3 linked regions of the Rhinolophus ferrumequinum genome follow. The protein of the gene in region 2 purifies or fractionates together with the protein of the main gene of each other region. This does not show direct contact. Links are inferred from orthologs where the notes say so. Each region holds a gene or a part of one and is shown on either strand. Other genes may lie near its edges.

Region 1 (6,982 bases), on a different chromosome or scaffold from region 2:
CGAATGACTCCAGCCACCAAGAATTAGGAAGGAAGAGTTCTGTCCTGCCCCCAGTCCCAGCATGCAGAGACCTCCATCCTCTGCCCGAGCCTTAGGGTCAGATACCAGGCTGGGCCCCAACAACTTAGCATTGTGCCTGCCTGCATTTCCTGTCCCAGTGTGGGTTCTGCAGTCCTGCCTGTTCCCCACTAGGCACAAGGATTTGTGAGCCCAGGCTTAGGCACCATGGCCTTCCAGACCCCACCCCCATTTCCAGCTCTGCCAGGTTGCGTTTCAGCCCTTAAGGGCCCTGATTCACCCCCTCAGACTCCCTCCCACTTCTCATTTCTGCCCCTGACCCCCAGTCCCTAGCATCTGGCCCCGTCCCCCCAGAGCCTGTGGCCGCCCCCCTTCCCTGTGCCCTGAGCTTCTGCTCTCCTCCATGTCTGGGGCCCGAGTCCTGTCGTGCCCAGCCAGCCCCGTCCAGCTGTCTTGGACACCACCAGCTCCCAGCCTGACCCTGCCTGCCCACCCCTGCAGGTGAGATGCTGCTGCAGAACCTGACCGTGCAGGCTGAGTCGCCCTTCGGGGTGGGTGCCCTCACTCACCTGCTGCTCTCCGGGAGCCCCGAGGACCGAGTGGCTTGTGCGCTGACCCTGCCCTTCATCTGCCGGTGAGGCCGTGGGTGCTTTTCATGGGTTGGGAGCAAGGTTGCTGTTCCCCAGTCCTGTCCTTTCCCACCTCTTGAAGCGTTCTCTTTCTCCCTGAAGGAAGCCGTCTCTGTGGCGCCGGCTGCTTCTGGACCAGGGCGGCCTACGTGTCCTCCTGTCGGCGCTGACGCTGCCAGCCCCACACCCGCTCTTCCTCTTCTTCGCGGCGGACTCCCTGTTCTGCCTGCAAAGCCTGGTGTCGCCCACTGCAACCCCAGCCTCCCCACCGGCAGTCCCGGGGGACCCAGAGGTGCCCTCCCCTTGCCTCTATGAGCCTCTGCTGGGCCCAGCGCCCACCCCAGCCCCTGACCTGCATTTCCTGCTCGACTCTGGCCTGCGGCTGCCTGCCCAGCGAGCTGCCTCTTCAACAGCATCCCCTTTCTTCCGAGCCCTGCTGGATGGCAGCTTTGCCGAAGCCCAGATGGACCTGGTACCGCTTCGAGGTCTGTCACCCAGCGCGGCCTGGCCTATCCTGCATCACCTGCATGGCTGCCGGGGCTGTGGGGCATCCCTGGGGCCCATTCCCCCGCCAGGCCAGCCCCTGCTGGGCTCCGAAGCTGAAGAGGCGCTGGAGGCTGCTGGCCGTTTCCTGCTGCCTGGGCTGGAGGAGGAGCTGGAAGAGGCCGTGGGCCACGTCCACCTGGGACCTCAGAGTGGCCCAGCGTCCGTGGGTGAGGTGTTCCGCCTGGGCCGGCCCCGGCTGGCTGCTCACTGTGCCCGCTGGACACTGGGGCCAGAGCAGTGTCCGCGGAAGCGCGCCCTGGCTCTGCTGGGGCTTGTGGAGGCAGCAGGCAAGGAGACTGGTCCCCTGACTGAAGCTTTACTGGCCGTGGTGATGGGGGGTGAGTCTGGGGGTAAGGGTCCCAGTGTAGACTGTTGATGTCCCCTCGGAGGGGACCCAAAGATGAGATGGCTGTGAAGGTGGCCTCCCTCAGAGAGGCTGGGCGAGGAGGCTGAGCAGAAGGGGCCACCGCGGACAGGAGAGGGTGGCCCTCGACCCCAGGATGATGGGCTGACGACTCAAGAGTGAGAAGCCAAGGCCGGGGTCTGGCCTGGGGCCCATGAGACGGAGAAGAGCCCAGGGCCCCGGGCCTGGCCCAGCACCTGGAGTGGGATTAAACTTTGGAAGTGGAAACCCTACTGTGTGTTGTCTCTGTTTACTTTCTCTTGGGGGTCTCCTCGCACCCTCACCCATCAAGGAGGGTTTTGTCCCGGCCCCTGTGTCTCAGTGCAGGACACCCTGGCATGGAGGAGTTTCACGAGGGACATGCAGTGGTTCCTGGAGTCCCGGCACAGGGTGGAGTCCCCAGGCCTCTCCCTAGGATGTGGTTTCGGGCCCCAAGGGAGGCCTGCCTCCCGCTCACATGATGTCATTGCTCAGACAGCTTCTCAGCTGGCCTCCGAGAGGGTTGTGCTGGGGCAATGCAAGATGCCCCTGGCCTGGGTGTTCCTGCTTTTCGAGTGTCCATCACCCATCTCGGGCCTTCAGTCTGTGGGTTCATTTTCATCTCTTGGGCCAAGTGTCCTGCTGTTTTCCTAAAGGCAGGTCTGCTGCGGAGTCCCTGAGGCCTTGTCTTGGGCTGGCAAAGCCCTGGGCTGGCACTGAGGTGAGGGACGGGCTCCTGTCACTTTGTCCCCAAGGCAGGGTCTCCGTCACCTGGCTCCCAGGTCTGACCACTCAGGTGGCAACGTGACTGAGGAGACTTGCTGGACAGGGTGTGCCGGTGGCCTCTGTGGACTAAGGTGGACACTGATGCCACTGTCCAGGCCTCTATTAGGCTGCACATTAGAACCAGCAGAGCGCTTTTGGAAGATAAGTGAAATACTGATGCCTGAGTCCTCTCTGCTTGGATTGGACTGCGCAGCAGTATTTTTAAAAAGCCCCCCAGGTGGTTCTGATTGGCTTCTGGTTTTGATTGTTTTCCTTCTTCCGTTTAACATGGCCGATTGCCTGACAGGAAAAATAACAAATGGAGATCAATTCTTGTAAGGATCCCAGCTCAACAAGGGCTGTGTCACAAGAGACAGTATCAGCAAGTAGACACAACTGGGGACCACCTGTGGCACCGATTCTTACTTTATTTTTCTGAATGACAATCTTAAAACAAGGGTCGTACCCTCTTCTACGGTTGTCGGCCTTGTATACATTTGCTCCACTGTATACAACAGGACGTTGTATACCTTAGTTCTACATCCAAAACACGTGTCGTAAGGAAATTTACATTTTAATTTCAGATTTTCACATATAAATCAAAGCCTATGTTAAAAATGTAATACTCCACCCAACGCGAACCGTTTTACATGAAATAGTTCATGTGATGCCTTGGACACACAATGGCAGTAAATGCCTTGTATCCCGGCCTGATGGTGGGCACAGCGGCTCACGTGGCCAGCTAAGTCCCCAAGGTTGAAGCGCTCATGGCTGGACTCTGGTCTGGGTGGACACCACGGCGCAGTTGTGTCTGTCCAGACCCGTGTACCAGGGCGTGTCTTATTTCCGCCCTGACTTCTCAGGGTCTCAGTCCAGGGAAGGCCTCTGACTCCTTGGTCGCTGGGCCGGCTGGAGCCTTGTCTGGCTTGCTGTCTTCTCCGGGCCCATCAGCAGCTCGGGAATAGGTCTGGGCAGCCTCAGTGCTGGGGAGGGGCTTTGTCTTGAAGGCTGCGTGGGGTCTGGCTGGTGGGAGTGTTTTCTGAGTCTGCGTGGGGCTGGTGCCTGAGTTTCAGTTTAACTGTGTCTGTTTCCAAGTCTAGGACACCTGGTTTAGTGGAAGGGTTCACTGTGTCTGTCTCAGTCTCTGAGAGATTTATTCGTGTCTAGTGCATGTGCCCTCTGTCTATGTCATTGTGTGTCAGGGTCGCTAAGCGAAGTTCTCTGAACCTGCGATCTGACTGATCCTAGAACATCATTCCTGTCTCCAGCCCCCAAATTCTGTCTGGAGCAAGCCTGGGCAAGAGGAGGGGCTGCGTCTGCAACTCGGGGTGCTGGCTTCGGGAGGTTCTGTTTGGGGGTCTCAGTCTGCATCTGAGCGCCTCTCTGGGCGGAGCTTCCCAGGCTGCTCTAAGAGCCACTTCTCTGACTCTGGCTGTGGCCGCCTGGGGCTCCCTGCAGCTGAGGCCAAGGCCGGGGTGTGGCCGCCTCTCTGTGATCAGGGGCCGGGCCTGCGTGGTCTGGGCCCTCCCTCCCTTACACGCCCCCACCCAGGCTTCTCTTGTTCCTTGCCCCCACTCCCCCCACCTTTCCCTCCAGCTCCATCCCAACGGGTCCCGCTTCCTTACATGGTCACGGGCTGGGCCTCCAGTTCCCGGACGTCCCCCCTTCCACCGGACACGGCCCCCGCCCTGCTCACCCAGCGTGGTCTGTCTGCACCCCGCCATGGAGGACCTGGGTGAGTGGGGCTGGGTCCCCCCGTCCCCAGCCCTTCACTATCCCCTGGACCCGCTTCCCCATACTGGAGCCCCCTTGCACTCCCCTCCTGCATCTCCCCATCCCTGCCTCCTGTCGTCTGGCTTCTGTCTCTGCCCGCGCCTCCTTTCTAATTCCACGTCCCCCTTCCTGCCTCTCCCTTCCTGCCTTTCCCAGGCTGGCCGCTCCCTCCCTTCTCGCCTCGCCCCACTCTTCCTTCACAGGCTGCGGACAGATGGGCAGGGAGGTGCGGTGGCCCTGGGCTCCTGGGCTCAGGGGCTCTGGGACGGGAGGGTTTAAAGGGATCCTGGGTCTGGGGACCGGGAAAGTAGGCAGGAAGGGAGGCTATGACACCCAGTTCTGGAGAAGGAAACCGGCCTGCCCTGGGGTTTCGGGAAGGAAAGCGTTAAGGGGTCCCTAAGTTTGGTAGCGATCCATAGGTGGCGGGGAGACGTTAAAGGTTCCACCACGCCGCTCAGAGATGAAGAGTAAAGGGACAGGGACTTCTGAGTTCTGGAAGGGAAAGCGTTCAAAAGATCCAGATCTGGGGATGGGCAGTTGTGCTGTCTGGGCAGAAAGGAGGACGCAGGCATCTTGTCCTCTCTGTCTGTTGGAACTGGGGCTGGAAGGCTGTGCCCTCCAACCGTGGGACAGAAAGGGTTCCAGCAGACTGTAATGAGGGGTGATGCTCGGTAGGGGTAACGGGCACTGATACTGCGGAGAATAGGCCAATCAGAAGGCAGGTCCCTGCAGACTCACCAATGAGGTGCATAGGGTGGGACCCAGTGGGTCTGGAGGCGGGCCAGAGCGGAGTGGGCCTGTTCAGGTCGGGGGAGAAATTAGTGGGCGTGGTAAGAGAGCTTCCAATCAGAAAGCTGGGTTCCAGGCATACAGCCAATTGAGCAATTTGGGGTGGAGCCAAACTTGGCTCCAGTAAAGAGCCAATTTTGACTGCATTAGGGAAGATTCGGAGGATAAAAAAAAATCAGGTGGGTGGGTTTGTGGGTAACTCCCAGGATGAGCCATTTGGGATGTTCTGCTCATAAATATTCCTTGCTGCCCTTCCACTTTTCTACCTGGGTTTGGCCTTGTGTTTCCCTCTCATTCCTTTTTTTAAAAAAAAAAAAAAAAAAGCTTAGTGGGGAAGGTGAACTGGACTTTATTGGGGAACAGTGTGTACTTCCAGGACTTTTCCAAGTCAAGCTGTCCTTTCAATCTTAGTTGAGGAGGGTGCAGCTCAGCTCCAGGTCCAGTTGCCGTTGTTAGTCACAGGGGGAGCAGCCCACCATCCCTTGAGGGAGTGGAACCCGCAACCTTGTGGTTGAGAGGACGTGCTCCAACCAACTGAGTCATGTGGCTACTCAAGAAGCTCAGCGGCAGATCATTGACTTCATTCTAGTTGCGGAGGGCGCAGCTCGCTGGCCCATGTGGGAATTGAACCGGCAACCCTGTTGCCCAGAGCTTGCACTCTAACCACCTGAGCTACCCATCCGCCCTCCCTGATGCCTGATGCCTGATGTCTGCTCTCAATACTTGCTTCTGTCCTCAACTACTGCCCACTTGGAACTCATCTTCTCATCTGTTAAGACCCTCTTTGTCTCTGACCTAACTTTGACCTCTCAGCTTCTCACGCTGATGACCTCTCCCTGCAGATGCCCTGCTCTCTGACCTGGAGACCACCACGTCACACATGCCAAGGTCAGAGGCTCCAAAAGAGCAGCCCCCAGAGGCCCTCACATCTTCCCTGTCCTATGGCCACCAGCCGCAGGTGAGATCAGAGGCTGTGGCCTGGGGCAACCACTCGGGCCCGTCTTGGCCTGGGCTCGGGGGAATCTGGGCCTGAGTGAGGCAAGATACAGGTCTGCCATCCCATACCTGTGTCCTCTCTGTAGATGGGGTCTGGCGAGTCTTCAGGAGCCTCAGGGGACAAGGACCATCTGTACAGGTAAGGGGCCTGGGAACGGGGATGAGGGGTGGAGAAGCCCAATGAGACTCAGGTGAGGAGGCTTGGACTCCCCACCCCTGAACCCAGGCTCCCACCCTGTTTCCCAGCACGGTATGCAAGCCTCGGTCCCCGAAGCCTGCGGCCCCCGCGGCCCCTCCGTTCTCCTCCAGTGGTGTCTTGGGCACAGGGCTCTGTGAGCTGGACCGCTTGCTTCAGGAGCTTAATGCGACTCAGTTTAACATCACAGGTACGGGGGTTACTGCGACAGGCCTTCACCAAGGGGTACATACTCCCCAGAGCAGCAGTGGAAAGGACTCAAAGCCTTACGCGGGAGGCGGGTAGAGCACGGTCCCGTGTCCAGCCCTTCTCTCCTCTCCGCAGATGAAATAATGTCTCAGTTCCCATCTAGCAAGGAGACTGCAGGGGAGCAGAAAGAGGACCAATCTGAGGACAAGAAAAGGCCCAGTGGGTGAGTTTGCACAGTTGGCAGGGCTGGGAGAGAGGTGATCGGTCCTGAATGCCTGAGATACTGGAAAGAGCGTTCCTCTGGGAGGCTCGGAGCCGACACACGCTGTGTTCTTCACAGGCCCCCTAGCCCATCCCCCGTTCTCCAAAAGCCTTCGGCTACCTCTGCCACCCTGGAGTTGGACAGACTGATGGCGTCACTCTCTGACTTCCGAGTCCAGAACCACGTGAGTCAGGCAAGGGGGCGGGCCGCTGTGGATGTGTGGCTCCCCGGCCCATCTTAAACCTTTCCACATCTGCTGCCTTGCTGACTCAACTCACATGTGCCCCCTGCTGCAGCTCCCAGCTCCTGGGCCAACCCAGCCACCAGGGCCAAGCTCCGTGGATGAGGGCTCCCCGTCCCCAGCGGAGCCTACCAGCAAGGGCGGCCTGGACACCATGCTGGGTCTGCTGCAGTCCGACCTCAGTCGCCGTGGCATT
Region 2 (6,000 bases):
TCTGCAGGGCATCCTCAGCCTGAGAGCCCAGGCCCATCCTGCATGGGCATCAGGGGATGGGTCCTTTGACGAGGCCCACCCCGCTTAGTCATCTGAAGTTGCCATACCTCCCATACCATCTACATGGTCCTGTCCCTCTCTGGGAGGACAATAAAGTAATGACGAGGTCAGTAAGGGACCCTGAGCTCCCAGGCAGCTCCCCTCCCCTGGCCCTGCTCTGTCCCCCTTCACCTGACCCCAGCCTAGGAATCCCTGAGTACCCAGTCCTGGGCCAGGAACCTCTCCTGGTTTCCCCAGCTCCCACACCTGCCCCTTGGAGTTTTAATTGCTGGTTACAATCATTACTTCTATCTTAATGGACAAGGGGCCAGAGGGCAGGGCTATACCCTGTAATGGGCATCATTGTACCCACAGGGCCCAGCATGAGGCTTTGCACACAGCAAGGAATGTCAGCCAGGCGACGGTGCCAACCCCTAGGCCTCTACACACACGAGGGTCTGAGGCAGTGGCAGGCAGTTGCTTTGAACTTTATTTGAGAAAAACAACATAAAGGTATCAAAAGAGCATTCAGGCTGACAGGTAGGGATGGTCAGTGATGGCTAATGGGGGGTTCGAAGCAGGGCCAAGGCCTTTACTTGGCTCCAGGCTGCTCCGACTTTCCAGCTTCTGGACCCCCGATCTGGGCACGAGCCTCGAAGGTGACCGGAATGGTGATCTCTGCTGACTGGGTGGCTGGCTTGGGCATCGGGGCCTCCACGGTGAGCGTGCCCTCAGGGGACAGGGAGGAGGAGACCAGGGTGGGGTCCACACCAGGGGGCAGCCTGGACATGCAGAGAGGGAGGACCAGAGTCACACACAGGTAAGTCACTGTGGCCCCCTCCCACTCCCCACCACTGGGCGCAGGACTCACGTGTACTTTCGAGTGAAGCACCGTGAAATGTAGCCATGCTCATCCTGTCTTTCTTCGTGCTTGCCTGCGGAGGGAAGGCGGTCAGAGGTGAGGGAGGGGCCAGCCCGCAGCCCAACACGCCCCACCTGGCGGCCTGGACTCAAGGCAGATCCCGACTGGTGGAGGGATTTGGGGTCGGGGGCTGTCCTCAGAAGCTTCTGGAGTTCTGTTTAGGACTTGGGGGTGGTGGATGCAGTGCCGGGCGTGCGCACACGCCCCCTCCACGGACCCGGTGTAGGGGCGGGGACAGCGCTGGAAGACAAAATTCTCTTCACAGCCACCGCAGGCCCGGGAGTGGGTGAGCGCAGGGAAACTTGGTCATCTGTAGGTTGGGGGTCTTAACTGAAAGGGGGGCATTTCTTCCCTTAATGGGGCGTTTTTAGGACCGAAAGGTCCCTTGGGAGCTATCCGCTAACTCAATTCTAGAGAAGGGGACACAGGCCTGGGGCAGGGCCAGGAAGCTTAATTTTTCGCTGCTCGGGCTCCGCTCCCCGCCCCGCCCCGCCCCGCCCGCTCCGTGCCCGAAGGGCCGGGGGCTCACCGGTGATTTCCACCACACCGTCCTTGGTCTTGACAGTCAGCTCCTCGGGGGCGAAGTGGTTGACGTCCAGGGACACGCGCCAGCGGTCGGCCGTGTGCCGAATCTCCGAGACGCCGCTGCTGAGCTGCTGGCTGAGCGCGCGGCTGTAGGCGGGCGTGGCCACTGCCGAGGAGCCCTCGGCGGCGGCCGGCAGCACCGGGCGCACGTAGCCCGGCCAGCCGCTGTGGCCCAACCAGAGCGACACCTCGTCGGGCAACCGCGGCATCCCGAACGACTGATCGAAAAGGCGGCTGTGGGGCGGGAACCAGTCGCGGAAAGGGTCCCAGCTTGAGCTCCGCAGGAGCGAGAAGGGCACGCGACGCTCTGCCATGCTGGATCGGATCTGCGCGTCTGGCTGAGGCTCGGAGAAGTGCCGGGCGTTGGAGCAAGAAGCGCTTTTATGGGGCTCCAGCCGGGTATTTTTAGCAGGCGGTGCTTCAGGTCTCTATTAATGGCAATGACGGGTTGGGGGCAGCCCCTCCCCCTGCATACCGGCGCAGGGGCGGGGCAAGGAAGACTTCCCACGTCTGGAACCTTCTCGTTCAAATAACCAAACAAATGACTGGAGCACCGATATTGATACAGTGACCACTGCCCGACAGGCCTGGGCGCTAAAGCGCTGGCCCGCGGGCTGAGGAGAGTCCCATTCTTGTGTCGGGGAGGACAAAGCTGAGAGAGGCCACACAACTAGGAAGTGGCAGAGCCAGCATTTGAACCACAGGGTGTCTGTAAAATAATGTCTTTTTTTTTTTTTTTTAAGATCTAAGTGGCTTTAATTAAGCACTTCAGGAATGGGGCAGCATCTCATCTAGCAACTAGAAGGGCACTCCCTGTAAAATTACGTTTTAAGAAGCAGTCTGGTGTGGTTTTAGGTGTGTAGGCTCTGGAGCCAGACTGCCTGGGTTCACATCCTGGTTCTGCCACTACTTGGAAGAACTTGTGCAAGTTAGACTCTGTGTGCCTCAGTTTCCCCATCTAGAAAATGGAGAAAATGGATGATGATAATAATGCTTACACCATTGGGCTGGTGTGAGGATTACGTGACTTAATGCAAGCATAGACTTTAGCCCAGGGCCTGGTACATGATAATTATTGTTATTATCTACCTGGAATTGAAGAGAGGGAGGAAGAAGGAGGATGTGTACCCATCCCTATTGCAGAGGCGGTGGTACCGTGTTTTCCCGAAAATAAGACCTAGCTGGACCATCAGCTCTAATGCTTCTTTTGGAGCAAAAATTAATATAAGACCCGGTATTGTTTTAATATTACATTATGTTATGTTATATATTATTATATTCCTGGTCTTATATTAAGACCCGGTCTTATATTATATTAAAATAAGACTGGGTCTTATATTAATTTTTGCTCCAAAGGACGCATGAGAGCTGATGGTCCGGCTAGGTCTTATTTTCCGGGAAACGTGGTATGTGTGGGTCTGGCCATTTCCCCCCTGCCCTCAGCAGTGGGGCTGGCCCAGATGAGAACCTGGGTCCTAGTGCTGAGAAGAGGTGAGGAGGAAGGTTATTGTCAGTCTCCGCATTATATCTATTTTTCCTTGAGGACAGGAAGCCTGAAATGCAGCAACCTTGAATCTACTCTGAGGTTTGTCACTGACTTACTGTGTGATTTGGGGCAAGGCCCGTCCTTTCTCTAGGCCTCAGTTTTCCTTTTTGCAGATCATGATCTCAAAACCCCTTTTGTTTTTTATTCCCACAGCACAAAGGGAGAGGGGGCTCCAGGTGGTACAGTTTGCTCACTCTTGCTTAGAGCCTGGGGCCTGCCCCTTGACCCCTCCTATCTGACCCTCTATGGGATCCAGGTCTCCATCTTCCATTGCTTGGAGAGGGTGGTGTCCCTAAGCTCCTGCCATAATCCTAACGTCCCCTCTTTCCTTCCTTCACAGGCATGATCCTGGTCCAGCCTTCCTTCTGCTGCCATGTCCTATTATCCTTCCTTTTTAGATGAAGAAACAGGTTCAGAGTGACTGGCCACTATCTCCTGTAAGACAGCAGCACAGTAAGCCTCTTGCCTCTCTAGTGCTTGGGGCTCTTACCCTCAGGGGCTCCTATCTTGGTGTTTCCCTGCCTTCTCTCTTTCTGAGACCCACCATGTTGCTGCCCCTTTCTGGGGCTGAGGCTATACTCTGTCAGTGCTGCAGGGGCTTTGCCCTGCTCAGGACATCTGAGGGGCTGGAAGCTAGACCCCAGGCCGCTCACCTCAATGAATTGGGGGTAACAACAAGTCTCATGCCCTCTCTGAGCCTCAATTTCCTCTTCAAGAGAGAGCTCCTGGATGCCTTCCTTCTTACTCACCTGCACCCCATGAGGAAAGAGTTGGGGCTGGACCATGAATCTGATGTCACCTCTGGAAAAGCCTCTGAGCACCTGGGGTTCTCTTGGGCCAGGGGTGGGAGGCAGACACCCCTGGGGCAGACACCTCTGCCCCATTTCCCTTGCTGGATCAGTAGGTCTCAGCTGGGAGCTCCTGGCTGCCCCCCAAGGGTCTCAGCTTCAGAAAGCCCCAGGTCTTTGGTCCCTGGCGTTCCCAGCCCCACCCGTCCTCACCTCTATAAAGTCAGGATGAGCTCAGGAGCCGGGAGGGCCCTCACCGCCCCTGCCTGCCCACCTTGGCTCAGACTGGAGTGCAGGTGCCCCACCCTAGAAGGAGCTGGCAGGTGTGGTCATGGATGCTTTCAAGTGTGGCCCTGCCAGGCCCAGCCACGCTCTGGGTGGAGGCTGCCTGGCTGGTTGCCAGGGCTTGTAGGCACAAGCTCCCTTCATCTTGCCTGACACCAGGCAGGTAGGATCCATCCTACTGCCCCAGCCAGGGAAGTTGTGCAATAACTCCATCCCTCTGCCCACGGCAGGTGGGGGACACAGAACAGAGAATTCACATCCATCTTCAAATGGCCAGTTCTCGAGAGACTCTAGGGCACCCTGCCAGTAACAACAAAGGAGACATGGGTGGCTCTGGGTCATGGTAAGAGGGGGTGGGGTGTGGGAGAAACTGGGTTTTGAGGTCAGACAAGGATGGACTTGAATCTGGGTGCTGCTGTTCACTGGCCTGGTGACCTCTCTGAGCCTACATGTCCCCAGCTGCAAAACGTGGCCAAAAACGCGCCCATCTTGCAGGGTTGTGGTGAATCCCAAACACAGCTAAGCACATGAAGTGCCTGGTGCTCATTAAGTATTAATCATTATTAATGGAAGAGGGCTTTTACTTTTGGATATCGAAACGTAGATTAATGAGAATTATGCAGTTGTATGAACTTTCTAGCGTATCCAGGTATCTTATTAGAGTCCCATTACTGAGATGAGAAAACTGAGGGTCAGAACTGCCCAAGGTGGCAAAGCTGGTCAGGGGGTGGGGAGGATTGGAATTCAGGCCTCCTGATCCTCTGTCCGGTGGGGGAGACTTCCCAGGCAGTCCAGGGAGGCCTGTGGGCTGTGGGCTTCTCGGTGCAGGGTGAGGTGTTGCCTGTCGGGACAGGGAGGGTTGGGCCAGACTCTCTGGGGTCCTTTCAGACCAGGTGCCTTTTCTCTAGGAGGTTGCACCCTGAAACCAGCCATAGGGCTTGGCAAGAGGAGCAAGGGCTGGATATCAGCCCCACACTTGCCCACCTGCCCAAATGTTCTTTGACAATCTTCTGCTCTAGCTGCCTGGGGTAGTTTCTCTGGGGTGAAGAGGAAACTGACTCCACCCCCAGGGATTTCCCGGAAGCCACAGGGGTGGGGGTGGCAGGGTGAGTGGTGAGGGGAAGTGGGCAGTGCGGGGTCTGGGATTCCTTAATCAGGGGCCCCTCCCCTCATCCCTAGCCCCAAAGTCTGAGGTACTCTGCAGCCCAGCCTGGCAAGAACAGCCTCCCAGCCTGGCACTTGGCCACACTAGTCACACCCTTGGTTGGCTTTTGCCAACTGTGGCTGAGCCAGGCCCTCCTTTCCTGGCTCAGCCCCAGAGAAAGTTCGAGAGTCTTCAGGCAGCTGCAGGAACTCCCTGGAGAAGCCTGACAGCTGACGGATTGTGCTGGTTGCTGGGCCTGCTGGGAACTGAAAATGTGGGCAGCAGTAATTAGAGCGCATGGGGGTGGGGGGCACTAGGTCTTTCTGGAAACGTCTAGACACTGTCCCTCTAGGAATCTATTCCAAAAACCCATTTCCAGCCTGCCCACCCCGTAGGCCTCTGGCTTCTGGCTGGCCTTGGGATTACCTCACCTCCATCACAGGATGGAGTGCCAAGGAAGGGCCAGGTGGGAGGAGACCCATCCTCTAGCCCCTCCCACTCCTCTGTCCATCAGAAACAATCTGTCAGCTTGGGAGCCTGGGGACCTGCATGTCTCTCACTCTGACCTTGGCCAGCAGCCGGCTCCCGTGACTCATTTTCTTCATCTGTACAATGAGACCATTGGACTGGATGTTCCCTAAGACTCCTTCCAGCACAATGAATCAACAGTTTCTCCTCCACTCCCCCACCA
Region 3 (7,730 bases), on a different chromosome or scaffold from region 2:
GCAAGGGCCGCTAGGACCTGGAGAAGCTGCCACAGATACAGCTGAGGACGTGGAGAGTGGGTGAGCAGGGGCTGTGATGGAGACAGGGGTGGGATGGCCAGGAAATGGCCCCCGTGCCAGCCACCTGGGGGAGGAGGTGCTGGAGGACAGCCTTCAGCTGAGGTCTCGTCACAGAGCCACCTGACCCAGGGGCAAAGGCCAAGGACCCCTTCCTTTCCCAGAGCAGGCCACGCCCCCTCCCCACAAGACCCATGCCGTGCCCCTCCCCAGGCTAGCCAGCTCACGACCAATTAGTGCAGAGATATGAAGGCCTGGCTGTGTTGGCCCAACTTGGAGCAACTCAGAGTGTCATTCTGCTCCAGAGCTCCCCGTAGGCTCGGCCTGCACTGCAGCCCAGCTTCTCCCTCTGCCCAGCCCTGCTTCCTCCCTGTCCTTCTCTTCCCCTCCCTCCCTCAGTGTTGGTCCTCAGAGCACTCAGAATAAAGCTCCTATAAGCTCATCTCCATCTCACAAGATGCTTCCGGGGAATCCCACCTAAAACAAAGAGGGAGGGCAGCTGAGCTGCAATCGCTAGCTGGCTCCCTGATACACACCCACCCCCAGACCCAGTAAACACATAGGCATAGGTGAGTAGGATAAGCCTTCCCCCAGCAGGGCTGGGTCCTGACTTTTTACCCCTCACACCCAATGTCCTCCTTACCTCGGAGCTCTTGATTCTCCTCTAGACAGCGCTGGAAGGTCTCAGGAGCGCCCTGCTCCGAAGGCAGGTGGAGCATGGTCGGCTTCCCTAGAGAAGACTCTTCACCCAGCACGTCCTGGTCCCCGGCCGGGCCACCGCTGGGCTGCACCATCTCACACAGCTGACTCTTCCAGGGGGGCCCGCTCATCCAACAAGTCAAGGTCTGGGAGAGAACGGCAGCACAGGCGTCACACGAGACCCGTGCAGAATTCTCTTACCTACAGGACAACGGGTGTAGTGTGTGCAGCAGTTCTGGGGCCAAGTTTTACGCAGAATACCAAGCACTTTGTCGAGTGTAATAGCATGCTAAAATGGGCTTTTTGGTCTAAGAAGTGGCACATACTCCCATTCCAAAGGGAGGTGCAGGCCCACGTATGGGACTTGGGAAGGCCATGGTTCAGCACCAGTTATAAGCCCTGCCTAGCAACTATCTCCGGGCTGTAAGCTGAAGTGAAGAATTTCGCCAAAGGGGAAAATAAGAGAGAGGATTCATTTTGGAGGAAGGTGTCAGTGTGCTGGCTATCCTACCACATACACACACCTGCAAGCAGGAATGGAGGGCGTTGGCCCCTCACCTAGTGTAGTGGGTTGAATGGTGGCCCCCCCAACAAGATACATCCATGTCCTGACCCCAAGAACCTTGGGAATGTAACCTCATTTGGAAAAGGGGTCCTTGCAGATATAATTAGGTGCAGGATCTTTAGAGGAGATCTTCCTGGCTTAGGGTGAGCCCTAAATCCAATGACAGTATCCTTATAGGAGATAAAAGAGGACAGATGCAGACATAGGAAGAAGCCATACGAAGGTGGAGACAGAGACTGGAGTGGCGACAGGCCAAAGGACACTTGGGGCCACCAGAAGCTGCAAGAGGCAGGAAGGACCCTCCCCTACAGCCTCTGGAGAGAGCACGGCCCTGCCCACACTTGACTTCAGACTTCCAGCCTCCAGCACTGGGAAAGAATAAATCTCTTGCAGCAGCCCCAGAAAATTAATGCACCTACTAAGAAGGATTTCGAGGAGACCACTCAGACCCTGATGAATGTTCCCTGGAACTGAGGGGACAAAAGGGAAATCCAGTATCTGACTTTTTGCTTTAGAATCGGCAAGTGGGAGCTGGGCTGACAGCCTAAGACAGTGGGGCAGAGACACAGGCTGAGCTGTCCCCATTCTCTTGTGAACCAGAGGAGAGGCGGGCCGTGAGGGACAGTACCAGCCTGGAGCCCTTTTCAATCCTGCCCAAGAAGACTGACTACCTGGCGGAGGAGGCCACTCTCAATACAAGTTTTGAGGCCTGAGCTGAGGGAGGCTTTCACAACAGATAAACTTGGACATTTGACTACCACACTGAACACACCACTAACTCATCAGCAGCATCTGACCAACCACGGATTCCTCCCTCAGCTCCCAGGACAGCCCTCTCCTAGTTTTCCTCCGACCTCACTGGCTGCTTGTGCTCGGTGCCATGCACTGAATCCTCTTTGGTAACCCAGCCCTTCACACTGTGATGCCCCGGGGCTCTGTTCTAGGATCTCTTCTCTTCTCTGTCCAGTCCCACCAGTACTAAGCATCCAGCCTCATGGCTTTAACCCCCCACCTTAATGTCAATGATGCCCCAAATTAGACCTCTTTCCTCAACGCCACACTCACATATCAAACTCAACATCTCCACTTGGAATCTAGGAGTCCTCTCAAAACTAATCTCTCTAAAACTGTTCCCGACAGTTCCCAAAAGCCAGGTCCCGCAGCCTTCTTTCGTGTCAGCTGATGGCAAATCCATCCTCTCGTTATCAGGACAAATACCATGGAGTCCATCTTGACTCCTGTCTCTCACAGCTCACATCTGATCCATCAGGAAATTCTACCAAAATATATCCCAGAATCGATCTGATGACACTAAGCAATTAATGTTAACTATTTTAGGTGGGATATGGTATTGTGGTTGTTTTTTTTTTTTTTTCAGTCCTTTCTTAGAGATGCATACTGAAATATTTACGCATGGTGTCTGAAATCCACTTCAAAGTAATGGGGAAATTCCTAGGTATATACCCAAAAGAAATGAAAACACATGTCCATACATGAATGCTCACAGCAACATTACTCATGACAGCCAAAGAATGGAAACAACCCAAATGTCCATCAACTGATGAATAATCAAAATCTAGACATGTTACAAAATGGATGAATCTTGCAAACATTATGCTAAGAAAAAGAAACAACTCACAAAAGACCACATATTGTATGATTCCATTTATATGAAAGGTCCAGAATAGGCAAATACACAGAGACAGAAAGATTAGTGGATGCTTAGAGGCGGGGGAGATGGGGTGATGGGGTGACAGCTAGAGGGTGCAGGGTTTCTTTTTGGAGTGATAAAAATGTTCTGGAATTAGTGGGTATGGTTGTACAACTCTAAATATATTAAAAACCAGTGAACTGTACACTTTAAATGGGTGAACTGTGTGGTATGTGAATTATATCTCAATAAAGCTGTCATTAAAAAGAGTAATGGGAGAGGATTGTAAAAGGTATAAATTAAACAAAATTGGCCACAAGTTGATAATTGTTGAAGCTGGGAGGTGGGCACATGGGATTTACTACACTCTTCTTCCTACTTTTGTACGTCTTTGTAATTTTTCATAATAAAATGCTCATAGCACCATTGTCTCTCACTTGGATTACTGCAACAACCTCCTAACAGGTCACCCCTGTTCCTACCCTTGCCCCATACAGTCTGTTCTCCCCACCTCGGTCAGAACAATCCGCCTAAAAGGTAATTCCAATCATGTCCCTCCTCTAATCAGATCTCTACCATGCATGGTTCCTCATTACCCTCTGTGTAAAAGCCAAAGTCCCTACAATGGCCTACAAGACCCTGCACTATCTGATCCCTTACTGCTTCCTCTCCAAGTACCTCACTCACTCTGCTCCAGCTATAATGGCCTCCTTGCTCTTCTTCCAACATGCCATGATGGCCCTTTTATCCTCAAGTCACACAAACGGTATGAGGTCGGGCTGACATGAATCGTTTTTGAAAAGTGAACAAACGGAGGCACATGAGATAAGACACTTAGCTGCCAACTCTATTTGAGGTCTTTTTAAAGAATTTAACCACCTCACACACAAGCAAGTTTGAACAGAAAATGTCTCCGAACTACAAGAGTCATCCACGAACTATGGGTGTGGTCAGACTCCGCGGCAGCGGAGGAGGGACAAGCGGAAACAGTCCCGCTCGCCTCCAAGGCAACCTGGGTCCTGCATCGGCCCGCCTGGGCCAGTACTCTAGAAGCGGGTGGCAGAAACGGACCTGGGCCCAACAGGAGAGGGAAGCCTAGACGTCCGGGGGAAATCTAGGAGGCGGCGGAACGCCCACCGATGGTACCCTGTCTTCGGGGAAGAGGACCACACCTTTCAGCAGAATCAGTCCGACGTAAGAAGGGCGGGAGCAGCGGGCCGCGAGCGCTCCTCGGGCCCCGTCGCTCCGAGAAAGTCCCGGTTCCGCGGTCGCTCTTCCCTTCTCCCCCACGAAATTCCCACTTCCGGCTTCCGGTGTCGTAACTGTGGGATCCGGAAGTAAAACACGCAAGCCCCGCCCCTCCAAAGAGGCCGGGAATAGATGTGAGGGAAGCTGTTCCAAAGGGAAGCCTGAGCCCGCCACCCTCGGCCGGCCCGCAGGACGCTCCCCAGTGATGTTCCCCACCCGCTACTTTCCGGGGCGTCAAACCCACACTCCCCCTTGTCTCTTGAGCGGTGGCACCCAGCCTCCGGGCGCTCGGCCGCCCCGCCCCTGCTAGGGGAGGAGCCACGAAGAGGCTACCTCGCAGGACAGGTTTGACCGGTCCGGGAGGGGGCGGGGTGAAGACGGCCCCGCCCATAAATGGGGGTCGAGGAGGCGTGGCCACACTGCCGGCGGAAGTGAGCCCTCCGCGAGGGCGCCGGGCCGCCGGGGGCGGAGGGGCAAAATCAGAGTGTAGGGGCGGGGTAGGGCTGGCTATGGAGACGTGGGCGAACGGCGCAGAGCTGCTCGCGGACTCGCGAGGCATCGGGGACGCGACACAGCGGCGATGGGCACAGCAGGCAGCGGCCGGCCCAGGTGCCCAAGGGATGGGGCGGGCCAAGGGAGGGGACTCCGCGGGAGGGGAGGCTAAGATGCGCGCGCACCTGCCCTGCCCCCCGCGAGGGAGGGGCCCATGGAGGCCCCGCCCGCGCGCCTCGCCTGAGGCGGTCAGCTCAGCTCAGGCGCCCGCCCCCGCTGGTTAAATGGACCCGCGGGTCGCAGCCCCCGGAAACGTCCGGGAACTCCGGGGCTGAGAGACCAACTGGCAGAGGCGGACAGGAAGCTCAGGTAACGAAGTGGGCGGGCGCCACACCGGTGTTGGGGTGTGCTGCGCCGCGAGGCCTTTCGATTTGCCATGCTGGGGAGCCGGGTAAAATCAGAGAGTCTTAACGCTTTCCAGTGGACCCCTGAGGAGACTGAGATCGTGAGAGGGGCAGGGACTTGCCATGATCTCCCAGCTTGGTAGGAGGAGGACTGGAGCTGCAGGGTCTAACATGCTCCAGCTTGTTGTGGGGTTTCCGCCTGATTCCAGGCTGAGATGAAACTAGCATCGTGCGATGCTCCAGCAGGGGTTTTTTTACCCAGTTCCTCAGAATTGAGACTCTCGTTGGAATCCACTAGTGCTTTGAGTAATTTTGTAATGTACACTGTGAAAGAAGGCTTCCTGGGGAGTATGGCCGGAGCTCAGAGCCAGCAGCTTCTAACCCCCCAACCATCCTACCTCCCCCCATTCTCAGCCAGTGGTTTCGAATAATCAGACTTCAGCTGAGTGAGAGCCCGAAAGACCCCTGAAGAAAGGGGCCATCTTCTCAGAGCTCTTCTGTTCTCGTGCCTTGTCAACAAGTCTTTCTTTCACCAGAGAGCATCATGGCAGAGCAGGTGGCCCTGAGCCGGACCCAAGTGTGCGGGATCCTGCGGGAAGAGCTGTACCAGGGTGATGCCTTCCATCAGTCCGATACACATATCTTCATCATCATGGGTGCATCGGTGAGTCTCCCCCAGGCCCCACATCTTAAAAGTGTGAAGTTGCTTAAGGTCTCTTCCTGCTGGGTACCTGAGCTTTCCCAACTGGTTGCCGTGGGGCCACACAGGCTCAGCTCAGTTAGACTCTCCTTCTTACTCCTGCTCGTGTGCCATTATCACCCAGCACACCTGGTATACACACACTGTGAGGCATTTCTGAAACCTGCAGAGCCGTTGAATGTAGACCCATGTCCTGGAGCTGGAAGGTCCTTAGGGACTGTCTGATTGGATTGCTTCCTCCATGGGGAAAACTGAGATGCAAACAAGGGAGGCTATTCATTCTGTGTGTATCTTTCTCAAACTTGTTTGTGACTTGACAAATGTCACACAGTCAATTAGTTCCAGAGGCAGGATCTGAGGCCCAATCTCCACCTTGTCTCTCTACCACGTCAAGTTCCCTGGGGACAAACACTCAACCTTTCTTTGAACACTGTCTCTTTGCCCCAACTTCCAAGGCCTGCTGAGGAGCTGTGACCTGCCCCATTGTCTAGCCAGTGGCACTGCCATTTTGCTCTGATAGGAAAGGCCATGGCCCCTACACTAAGGCCCCCTCCCGGTGTACCATGTGGAAATGAGATCTCTGCCAGGCGGCAAGATGTGTGCAGGGCCTGGTGAGATGAGTTGCCAGGGCTTCATGTCGAAGTTAAAGCGGCCTTCTCTTTTCACGTTGAACCCTGAATGTGACGAAGCATCTGCTAAGCATCGCAGGACCATTTTTACCCATAACTTACTGTATAATCTTGAGGGAGAGTTCTACCCAAACTAGTCAGCTCTTGACGGGGAAGGCATGGTCTCTCTGTGCCGTCCACATCATGCTCCCCTCACTCTGGAGGACCTTGGTTCTTTGTTCACGTATCAGCGTGCCACTGTCCTTTGCAGAGGCTGCCCCCTGCCAACTTTGGGATTCTGATTAGAACTTGGAAAAGGAGAGCCAGAATGCAGGGAGGGAGGCAGAGTGGGGGAGAAAGGTTCTGCCGGTGGGAGGGAGGGAAGGCCTGCACTAAGCACTGTCCTCTGGCTCCCCGTAAGTCCACGGCTGGGGAGTACACAGTAGCAGCACACAGGGGGCAGATGTGACGTCCACCTTGTCTCCAGCCTGGTCCCCTTAGAGGAGCCATACCTGTATTGGCCACAAACCTTAACACCAAGGACTCTGACCATTAGGCCCTTTGTCCAAGAAATAGTTTGGAGGAGAAAGTAACTCAGGATTAGTTCTCTTCCTTCCCTCCAGTCACAGGATGCCCCAATAGAGCGTCCCAGGCCACAATAAATGGCTTACAATTCCAGACCCTCAACTCTTAGACATCTCACTGAGATCATCCAAGCTTGCTGTGTGACCTGGGGCAAGTGTCTTCCCTTCTCTGAACCTCTGTGTTTCCATGTAGCAAATGAGGGCTTTTGAAGCAAATGCCAAGGCTTCCTTGGGCTCTGCCGAGCTGATTCTGTAGCTCCTCATCATTGCCTTCCTCTGTGGCCAGCTTGGGGTTGGGCAACTTTGTTTTCTTGCAATTGGTGAGGTTCCCCTTTGCTCCCCTCTGCTCTGAGAGCAACAAACAGAAGCTTTCAGAGCAGAAGTGGGAAGTGCCACTTCAGTGCGGTGGAGTGGAGGAGGACAGGCTGTGGGGAGGGGATCCTCCGAAGAAGAGCCTCCTTGTTTGTTTCTCCATCCTGCAGTTCAAGGGGGCTGGAGTGGGGTAGGCGGGCCTCCCATGCTCAGGCAGCACCTAGAACAGCTCCCAGAAGCAGGCCTCCCATGCCTGCTCCCTCCATGTAGAAAGTAGGCACGGTGGTTCTCTGGGAAACCAGTTAGTTCTCTGCTTATTCAGGCATCAAGTGGCGATTGAGTACCTCCTCTGCAGTGCAGTGACACAGGCCCTGCCCTCCTCATGGGACCTGTGTGCTGGGGGACTGGGA

Evidence for each region.
Region 1: the proteins of HSPB1 (region 2) and TGFB1I1 purify together in Homo sapiens (affinity purification with western blotting; 3 studies listed by BioGRID). This does not show direct contact. The link is inferred for Rhinolophus ferrumequinum from reciprocal best matches to the Homo sapiens genes HSPB1 and TGFB1I1.
Region 3: the proteins of HSPB1 (region 2) and G6PD fractionate together in Homo sapiens (co-fractionation; 3 studies listed by BioGRID and IntAct, with this or other methods). This does not show direct contact. The link is inferred for Rhinolophus ferrumequinum from reciprocal best matches to the Homo sapiens genes HSPB1 and G6PD.

The regions. Positions count from the first base shown.
Region 1 is NW_022680357.1:63,118-70,099, reverse strand, and holds the start of TGFB1I1 (transforming growth factor beta-1-induced transcript 1 protein), read left to right. Parts: upstream 1-3,922; 5' UTR 3,923-4,062; coding exon 4,063-4,075; intron 4,076-5,412; exon of another isoform or gene 5,413-5,510; intron 5,511-5,744; coding exon 5,745-5,860; intron 5,861-5,967; exon of another isoform or gene 5,968-5,984; coding exon 5,985-6,037; exon of another isoform or gene 6,038-6,046; intron 6,047-6,144; coding exon 6,145-6,284; intron 6,285-6,364; exon of another isoform or gene 6,365-6,418; coding exon 6,419-6,506; intron 6,507-6,623; coding exon 6,624-6,729; intron 6,730-6,841; coding exon 6,842-6,982. Other genes in the region: ARMC5 (armadillo repeat-containing protein 5), read left to right, coding at 520-652, 750-1,569. UniProt on the Homo sapiens protein: Functions as a molecular adapter coordinating multiple protein-protein interactions at the focal adhesion complex and in the nucleus. Links various intracellular signaling modules to plasma membrane receptors and regulates the Wnt and TGFB signaling pathways.
Region 2 is NC_046290.1:92,474,322-92,480,321, forward strand, and holds HSPB1 (heat shock protein beta-1), read right to left. Parts: upstream 1,950-6,000; 5' UTR 1,861-1,949; coding exon 1,491-1,860; intron 975-1,490; coding exon 911-974; intron 822-910; coding exon 632-821; 3' UTR 510-631; downstream 1-509. UniProt on the Homo sapiens protein: Small heat shock protein which functions as a molecular chaperone probably maintaining denatured proteins in a folding-competent state. Plays a role in stress resistance and actin organization.
Region 3 is NC_046284.1:6,114,648-6,122,377, forward strand, and holds the start of G6PD (glucose-6-phosphate 1-dehydrogenase), read left to right. Parts: upstream 1-4,655; 5' UTR 4,656-4,729; coding exon 4,730-4,829; intron 4,830-4,923; exon of another isoform or gene 4,924-5,081; intron 5,082-5,652; coding exon 5,653-5,780; intron 5,781-7,730. Other genes in the region: IKBKG (NF-kappa-B essential modulator), read right to left, coding at 701-887. UniProt on the Homo sapiens protein: Catalyzes the rate-limiting step of the oxidative pentose-phosphate pathway, which represents a route for the dissimilation of carbohydrates besides glycolysis.